Macaca fascicularis: one gene and its partner. The protein of the gene in region 1 binds, or shares a complex with, the protein of each later gene. Links are inferred from orthologs where the notes say so. Each region holds a gene or a part of one and is shown in the gene's direction. Other genes may lie near its edges. The genes, in order: ACTL7A and TES.

Evidence for each region.
Region 2: the proteins of ACTL7A (region 1) and TES are in contact, whole or in part, in a crystal structure (PDB 2XQN), measured with the Homo sapiens proteins. The link is inferred for Macaca fascicularis from reciprocal best matches to the Homo sapiens genes ACTL7A and TES. Residues at the interface, in NP_006678.1 of Homo sapiens: Leu28, Gln29, Thr30, Ala31, Ser32, Leu33, Arg34, Asp35, Gly36, Pro37, Ala38, Lys39, Arg40, Ala41, Val42, Trp43, Val44, Arg45, His46; in NP_056456.1 of Homo sapiens: Asn311, Glu312, Tyr313, Thr314, Gln315, Ala316, Glu317, Leu323, Phe326, Leu335, Ala336, Gly337, Glu338, Ile339, Tyr340, Val341, Tyr353, Pro370, Glu371, Val372, Gln373, Arg374, Val375, Thr376, Tyr377, Ala384, Phe389, Leu398, Ile399, Gly400.

What each region holds. Positions count from the first base shown.
Region 1 is NC_088389.1:49,266,056-49,270,551, reverse strand, and holds the start of ACTL7A (actin-like protein 7A), read left to right. Parts: upstream 1-1,634; 5' UTR 1,635-4,496. UniProt on the Homo sapiens protein: Essential for normal spermatogenesis and male fertility. Required for normal sperm head morphology, acroplaxome formation, acrosome attachment, and acrosome granule stability.
Region 2 is NC_088377.1:157,676,694-157,681,217, forward strand, and holds the start of TES (testin), read left to right. Parts: upstream 1-1,719; 5' UTR 1,720-1,889; coding exon 1,890-1,916; intron 1,917-4,524. UniProt on the Homo sapiens protein: Scaffold protein that may play a role in cell adhesion, cell spreading and in the reorganization of the actin cytoskeleton. Plays a role in the regulation of cell proliferation. May act as a tumor suppressor. Inhibits tumor cell growth.

The sequences.
Region 1 (4,496 bases):
GATCCACCCGCCTCGGCCTCCCAAAGTGCTGGGATTACAGGTGTGAGCCACCACACCCAGCCTGCTGAATTGTTTCTTGGAACATGGCAGCATTCAACTATATTATTTGGGTAACAACTTTCTAAGGGTTACAATTATGAACATCATGACCCAGAAATGCCCTGTGGTGGGATCATGAAATCACAGAAGCTCAGGATTGGACCCTTCAGTTTCCTCTAGAACATCCCATCCAGCAGTCTGACATGGACAGCTTACCCCGTTTTGGCCAGCCATGAGTGATAAATGTTTTGTCACACTGGATTGGCATGTGTACCTCTCTGAAGCCATTAATTGGTCTTGCGTCTACTCTTGAAGTTCTACAGAGCAAGCAAATTCTTCCACGACAACTCTTAGGCTATTTAAAGGCAGTGCTCATGGACTGCCAGAGACTACTTTTTATCCACTCCTTACGGAAAGACAGTACAGAGCAGAGGGAAGATCAAGGAACTGGAATCCAGAGACCTGGGTTCAAACACAGATTTATTATTTATAATCTGTATGACTTTGTATAAACTACTTGAAATGTCGTTTGAATGTGATTACCATATTGCTATGTCCCCTCACCAATTTGACCCATATCCATGGCCTCCAGGTTTCTGCCTTGAGCTGCTAAGTGGATGGTGGCACCACAAACAAACACATGGAATGCAGGGGGAGGAAGGGAAGGCATGTGCGGGGAGAGAATGAGCTCCAACTAGGGCATGCTGACTTAGAGATGCCCAAAGGCCACTAGGCTGTGGGACACTGGGCTGGAGCACGTGGAAGGGGAAGCATTCGGATCCAGATTTGCCTGCTCAGTAGCTCATCTCCCCCTGAAGACAGCTCCTCTCCCTTCCACCTCAGGGAAATGGGCACAGTCTTGGGACCTGAGTGTCCACACTGGGGTCTGAGCTGTGAGAAAGCAGCTCAAAGTGCCTGTTTGGCAAGGATCTTCTTTGTTGAGAGCTCCTGACTCAGGGGTTCTCCAGCATATTCAAGAGTTGGAAAGGCTGTGGTGGACTCCAGTAATTTTTAAGAAAAACTACAGGTGATTCATGAGAAGAAATGTCACACCAGATTTTCATTTTTTCCCTCCTATAGCTGCTAAACTTCCAGGGGCCTGGCTCACCTCTCCTCCAAAGGTCAAGGGCGGGTAGTGTCTCAAAAATTGAAGCCAGGAGCCAGGATGCACCTCAGGGATAAGTGTGTTCTTTAATCTCATCTTTCCATGTTCTCTCCCTCCACTATAGAAGAGAACCCCAGGGTTGGCCAGGCGCGGTGGCTCACACCTGTAATCGCAGCACTTTGGGAGGCCGAGGCGGGCAGATCACAAGGTCAGGAGATCGAGACCATCCTGGCTAACACGGTGAAACCCCGTCTCTACTAAAAATATAAAAAATTAGCCAGGCGTGGTGGTGGGCGCCTGTAGTCCCAGCTACTCGGGAGGCTGAGGCAGGAGAATGGCATGAACCCAGGAGGCGGAGCTTGCAGTGAGCCAAGACCCCATCACTGCACTCCAGTCTGGGCAACAGAGCGAGACTCTGTCTCAAAAAAAAAAAAAAAAAAAAAAAAGACCCCAGGGTTGCTTTCAAAAAGGAGTCATCCCATGGTTTTTTTGGTTTTTTTGGTCTTGAGCCAGAGGACTAAAAGTATGTGTGATCCCATTAGAAAATATGGCCCAACATATTTTGAGCAATATAGGGTGCCTCTCCCTAGAGGGACCTCACTAGGGACCCCAGGGAGCCCACACAGACCTTAGCTGATGACAGTTGTGGGGGGCTGTGTGCTAGGCAGTAGAGGTTTGGAGCACGGTGTCAACAGTCTCTGCATTCTTCCATCATTACCGCTAACCGTGTGCTGACCCACAGAGGGAGAGAAGAGGCACAGAGAGTAACAGGAAGCTTAGGGGGAACAGGGTTTTGATTGGGGGTACCCAACATGTGAAACTGAGAGGTGAAGAAAAGGAGGGCAAGTGTTTCGTTGGCTTTTGCTCAGAGAATGTGAGGGGAATCCCTATGCTCAAGGACCTTACAGACTAGACAGAATAACTGCCTTACACTAAGGCATCACCTCTTCCACACACAAATGCAGAAAGGGCAATGACAGATGATAGATGGGCAAGCCTGGGCAGCCCAGGAAGAGCAAACGAGTCAGAGCATGTCAGGCTTGGAGTGTATTAGTGAAGAGGGAGGCACAGGACAGGTGAAAGGGTCCTCCAAAGGTGTCCACATCTTAATCCCTGGGACCTGTGAGTATATTAACTTTCATGCCAAAAGGGATTCCGTGGATGGGAGTAAATGAAGGAATCTGAGATGGGGAGAGTATTTTGGATGGCCTGGGTGGGGCCAATGTAATCACAAGGGTCCTTATATGGGGGATACAGGAGGGCCAAGGGCAGAGAAACAGATGTGACAATGATAGCTGTAGTCTGAGACTCTAAGTCTTTTAAGATGGAGGAAGGGACATGAGCCAAGGAACACAGGTGGCCTCTAGGAGCTGGAGAAGGCAAGAAGAAGTACTGTCTCCTACACCTCCAGAAGGAATACAGCCCTAAAAGAACCTTAATTGTAGTCCACTAAGAAGAATTACGAACTTCCGACCTCCAAAACAGTAAGATAATAACTGTGAGTTGCTTTAAGCCACTACATCCACGGTAATTTGTTACAGCAGAAACAGGAAGCTAATACAGGCTCTTCTAGGAGTCCAGATTAGTGAAAAGGTACCAAGCAGCTATAGATTTCTCAAAATTCAAGTAGGGTTTGGGGAGAAAAAAAATGGAGGGTTTTAAATTACATATGCCTTTGGTTACCATATACAGAACTTTTGAAATAAAGTCAAACAATCTGAGTTGTCCATGCAAATCCCTGAACAGCAGAGGCAATTAAACTGTTTTTCAGGCAGCCAGGTATCGAAAGTACTTTCCTATTTTTCCTTCAAAATTCCATGCCATGATCTCACCCACTAACCAATGAAGCAAGAAACTGAGATTTTGTCCCTGGGATGACACCTTGCTGCCCCCATCAGATAGTCACAAACCTCATGAGACTGGACTTGGTCCTTTTCTTCTCTCATACCCCAAAGGAACTGAAAGAAGGACCCATAGCCTCTCTAAAGGAGAAAGCCCATTATTGTGGTGACTGCCTTTTATGAAGGGCTGGGATCAGGTTCAAGGTATGGCATCACATAAGGCTGGATTCTGCCCTGAGTGTGGCAGGCATCCACACCAATGTGTCCAGCTTCAGAAATGGCATGCAAGATGGTGGCCAAGCAGCCCAAAAGATGCATACTAGGTCCCATCAAGCTGTGTCCCAGCACATCCTGGGGAGGAAGCCACAGTCGGGAGAGCTTGGCTACTCCTGGTTGGATATCCTTGGATGAGCTACGCACCTACAAGCCTCAGTGTTGTCAGTGGGATTTTTTAGGGTCTAATTTCACTGCCTAGCCAATGACCCTGATGAAGGCACAGTAAGTGTACAAATGTATATCCAAAAATAATTCCTCTTAAGGTTGTTCTAAGTGTCACCCTTAGTGCCCTTGACATAGTCACCATAGCAGCAAAGGATCCCGCTAACATCTAAATCAGATGGTGTCGGTGCTCTGCACCAAATCCTCTAGTGCTTTCTGACCTTAGGCATGATCCTCGCATTGGCCTATGAGGCCTACTGTGAGCTGCTCGCCTTCCCCCACCCCATCTCATCTAATTTTCCTTACTCCTTCCATGCCAGCCACATTTGTCTTCCTGTTCCTCCTCTAACTCAAGAGGTCAGCAAACTTTTTAAGGGCCGGTCAATACTTACTTTCATTCAGCTTTTTGGGCAACACAGTCTTCAAAGCCGTGACTCAGCTCTACTGCTGTGCTGCAAAGGCAGCCATGGACGATACAAACATGAATGAGCACGGCTGTATTCCAATCCAACAAGCTGGGGACTGGACTGGACTGCAGCCTGCTGACCCCTGATCTAACTCTTCACACATCTGCCTCCAGTCCCCCGCACCTGCTGTTCCCCTGACAAACACGTGGCTCTCTCCCTCACCTCCTGCAGGTCCTTCATTCAGATGTCACCCTCTCAGGAAGCTCTGCCAAGGCCACCCTAGCACTGCCACCCTGCTTTTGCTCTTAATGCTCATTTTGGTTATTGTCTGTCACCCCCACCCCCCACCAACTAGAATAAGGGATTTTGTCTGGTTTTTTTTCACCACTGAATTCCCAGCTGCCTTGTATATAGCAGACACTCAAGAAATATTAATTAATTGAATAAATCAGTCTTGTTACAAAATTTAGGAAAAGGGGAGCCATTTCAAAAACAATATCCCAAATGTACCCTAACACAGGATAAGGGTTTGCAATATCTAGAAAGCCCAGGTCACCAGATTACATCATAATTAGTGATGTCATTGTTGGGAAAATTCTCAGGGTATCCTCTGATGTAGGCCTTTCAGGCCTTGAATCCAGTGGGATTGAGAACTTTCTAAGAGTG
Region 2 (4,524 bases), on another chromosome or scaffold:
AACTCACTGAATTTCTATTTCCATCCTTGTCAATGATACACACACAATGTAATGGTGAGAGGGTTGGGAGGGAAGAATGGGAGAAAGGCAGAAGTTGACAGTTTAAAAAAAAATGTTTCCAGATGGTTTTCTTAGTGTCATCTCTGCAACCTCATCAAATAAGGGTCCAAAATTTATGTTACAACATTTGTTTGATGCCTTATTTAAATTGCTTTACTGGACATTTTCCATCTGTTAAGCTCTCTGAAAGAAACAAAATTGTCTTGTCATAGCTAGACCTCATGTTCCTGTACACTTACAGAGGGCAAACTTTGCAGGGGCCCACAACTTTCAAGGTGATTTGGGAAAATGATACAGAAAAGTTATACATCAATTAAAAGAAAAATGTGTAACTCATTTTGGTAATTTCAGTGTTAATTCTTAATAGGATAAAGGAAACATGCACATTATAAATCAATGCTCTGTGTTAACAAATAATCAAGTAAGCAGAGTTGCAAGTATTGGCTAAAATGAATTTTGGATATTTTTAGCTACCAAATTTCTAGAGGCAAGGTAGACATACATCTGGACCTGAATATCTGCATTACTGGGGAATTTTTGTTTGTTTGTTTTATATTGTTTTGTTATTTTTAAAAGTAGGTGTCAAATTATGTCACCTGCTGTCTGGGCAATGTTATTTTTTGCCATAACCACAAATTGAAGAAAATTGACCGCTCTTTTTCCTTAGTCAACATGCTCTGCTTCCAGCCCCAAACATCTTTGAGAAGTTATTTAGATTCATGAGCAATGCCTCTGTCCCCAACAGGCTAAGACATTAGGCAGGTCCCTGCACCTCTGGAGTCCTCAGTTCCCAGCAAAATGAGGAAGCTAGACTAAGTAATCTTAGGCTCCCTTCCGGACCCACCAATCTGAAGGTATTAGATGCAATTGCTCCTGAATTAGGGCATGAAATGAGTTCAGCTCTGGTGCACCAATGTGATGACTCTGCGTCATCAAAGCCTGAGCACGCGATAGGCCTAGCACCATTTCACACAGCAGAAAGGGCAACCCTCTACTTCCAAAGGAATGACACCTGTTTCTGAAGTGATTCACATCATCTTTACTTTTGAACAACCCAATGCTCAGGAAACAATCTAAGAATATTCACTGACGTTAGGGATGTAAGATGCGGTTTCTTGACAGTATTTGGGATTTTGGAGAAAAGCAATCGAGGAAAGGGCATCTCCACAACGCAATAGTGAATTTAGTGCCCAAGGTCCATCACAGGAATCCCTAACGATCCCTACAATCTCTCTCTTTCTCTTTTTCTTTTATTTTTTCTCTCTTTGCTCTGAAAATAAACTGAGAAGTTAGTTTGAAAATAAACTGAGAAGTTGGGATACCTATTCCCCTTGACCCAGATAAAAAGTCCTGGGCAAACACAGGTACAAATTGCCAAAATGAAAAAAGTTCTGCTCTATCTTCAGCTAGAGGGAGGCTGGATCCCAGCTCTTTAGAAGCGGCCCGTGGACGCCCAGAGCATCCTCCGGGGACCAGGTCAGGGTCCCCGAGCTTGCCCCGCAGGGCGCCGCCCCGGACGCGGCCCCGCCCTTCACCTTGCCAGCGCCGAGCTCGAGCCGCGAAGGTGCGTGCGGCGCTCGGTGATTGGCGGCGGCCCGGGGCTGCCCGGCTGCCATTGGCTGCCCGGCCCTCTTTGTTCCCGGGTCCCTGCCGCAGGCCGGCTGCGGCGGACTGGGCGGCGGAAGTTCGACGGCGCCGGTCTAGTGGCTGCTGGGCGGCGGCGTGGGAGTTCCACAGGTTCCCCGTGTCCGCAGCGGAGCCGGAGGCCAGCTGAGCCCGGCCGTGGGATCCCGGACTGGAGGAGGAGGGGACCCATAGGACGCATAAACATGGACCTGGAAAACAAAGTGAAGAAGGTAGGGGGGTGCTCAGGGGGGCGCTCGTGGCGGGCAGCGGCTGCTTCACCTGCGCGGGTCGAGCGGTGCGCGGCGGCCGGAGGTGCCGAGGCGGGTGGGGCTTGCGGGCCGCCTGGCGTGAGCCCGGCTCTGGGTCTGCGGTGTCCCGGGCCCAGAGATCCGGCCCCCTGGGTAGAGTAGGTGCCCGCCGGCCCCGCCAGCTCCCCAAACTCGAGAGCGACAAAATTGGAAGCGCGAGCGAGGGCGGGCGCGGGGCTCTTCTCTCCCGTCTTACGGAGTCCCAGCGGTTGGAGGTGTTGGAAACTTTACTTAAGATGTTTCAGCTCTGCCTGTGCCTCCTCAAAAGGACGAGCTTAGGGCGAGTGCGGGCGAGACCGTGACACTTCCTGGCTCAGGAAGTTCAACTTCATTAAGCCTTTGTGGTTTGGGGCTCTGCTGTGCTTTGACAGCTCTGACCTCCTCCCTTCCAGCTGGGCTGCCTGGGGCCCTATAAAATGAGTGTTGATTTAATGCACTGCCTTCGCACCCGTGCTGGTGATAACTTCTAATGTGAATTTTTTTTTTTTTTTTTTTGGTCATTCATTACTTGTCTACCGAAGCACTGCCTCCCTCTTAGGGAATTATCTGTCAAAGCGCGCATTCTCCCTGTTTGGCAGGGAGTCCCAAAGGGCGGTTGTCACCAGCGTCTCAGCGCAGGGAGACATTTCCAGCCTGGCTGCTGCCTCGCAGGCATTGGAACCGATGGCCTTACCTGAGCCACTCCCGGGTTATGCGGAGCCTGGTGTCGCCTGGGAGAAAAGGGTGGGGACCAGACTGTGACTCAGAAGGAATGCTGATGTCACATTCGAGTGAATTGCCCTGTGCGAAAGTTCTCCGCGTTCCAGGGGATTTGCTCATATTTTACTTTGTGGTAAATTTAAGCTAGCTCTCCCTTATCGGATAGGGAAGTTTTGCAGAGAGAGGAAGGGAAAAATAAAAGTTTGTTTTTTCTCTTACTCATGGTTCCTAATATTCTTATTTTATCTTCTAAACACAAAGTTTCTGACTTGAGCATTAATTCTATTTTATGCCCAGAATTGGATTTTTGAAAATGGATAGAAAGTATTGTGTTAGGACTGCAGAGTTTTCGGTTAGGAAGCTGTTGACCAATAAAAACTTGAAATGAGAAAACAGTTTTTTTCATTCCTTAGGACTGAAATTCGCAAGCACTCAAAAAGGTATCCAGGAACAGAAAAACATAAATTGTTGAGAGTAGCGTGATTGCATTCTATTCTCTTTCCATTTGGTTTCTTTCTTTTTTTCTTTTAAGTAACTGATATTTTTGGTTAATCTTGCTTGTCATGGGGGAAAAGCGGGGAAAGCATTTTTCTCGCTTAGCTTTCTGTTGATGAATACTACATTCATTTAGTTTTCAAGTGGGTAAGAGCTACTTAATTTAGTACTTGTCTAAAACTTGAGGGGTCTTGTCCTTGCTTTTAAGTATTTATTTGAAGACAACTTTGTCAAAGTAAACATATTTTGGGTTGGCCAGGAAGAACAGGTGAAGCACAGGATTTTTAGGGTAATGACCCTATTCTGTATGATACTATAAAATGGCGGATACATGTAATTATACATTAAAATCCATAGAATGTAGAACACCGAGAGTAAACCCTAATGTAAACTATGTATGTTGGGGATAATGATGTGTCAATGTGTTTCATCACTTGTGACAAATGTACAGCACTGATAACGGGATGTTGGTAGTCCGGGAGGCTGCTTGGAGATGGGGAGGCACGGGGGAGGTACATAGGAACTTCGAATTTTCTGCTCAATTTTGCTGTGAAGCTAAAAAATGCTTTAAAAAACAAAGTCCGTTTAATAGGGGAAGAAAAATCAAAGATATTTTTGAAGCTTTTTGAGACAAGGAGTAATTCTGAGGGAAAAAAGTTCAAAGTTAAAAATTGTATGTGCTTGCAAAGGAAAAATGCAGACGTTGTTTATAAACAATTTCCTTAGAGTTTGAAAATGTGGATTATGATAAATAATGCCCTTGACATATGGTATAGTTTTCCTCCTTTATCCCCCACTTTACCTTTAAAAGTTATGTTTTCAACCAAGAATCTTAACTTCCTCTAATTCTCCTCCTCTCTGCCTCTACCACCCCAAAAAGATTTCCGTAAATTAAAGGTTTTAGAGAGAATCTCATGATACAGCAAATCCCTGTTTCACTACGTTGTCTTCACTGATGATTCTTAGAACAGAATCCTCACCTGGTAAATTGGAAGCTATTAAAAAACTGCAAAGATGTCCTATTTGACTCCAGTTTGTGTGGGTCCCTTAATAGATTTGATATTCTAACAAAAAGTTCCCCAGTACAAAAGTTTGGAAATCTCAGGAATGTATTTCACAATCTTGGCCATACTCTCAAAAAGAAATTTACGTTCCTTTTAGCAATTGTTTTCTAACACATCCAAAGAAGGAAATATTACAAGACTATCTGATTTACCAGCACAGTCTTCTCACCCTATTTTGGTACCTAGTTTTCAAGTCGCCTTTCTTTTTGACTCAGTTATACAAGAAAATTAATAGTTTGAATGTACCTTGAGAAAAGGCAGATTAAAAGTTG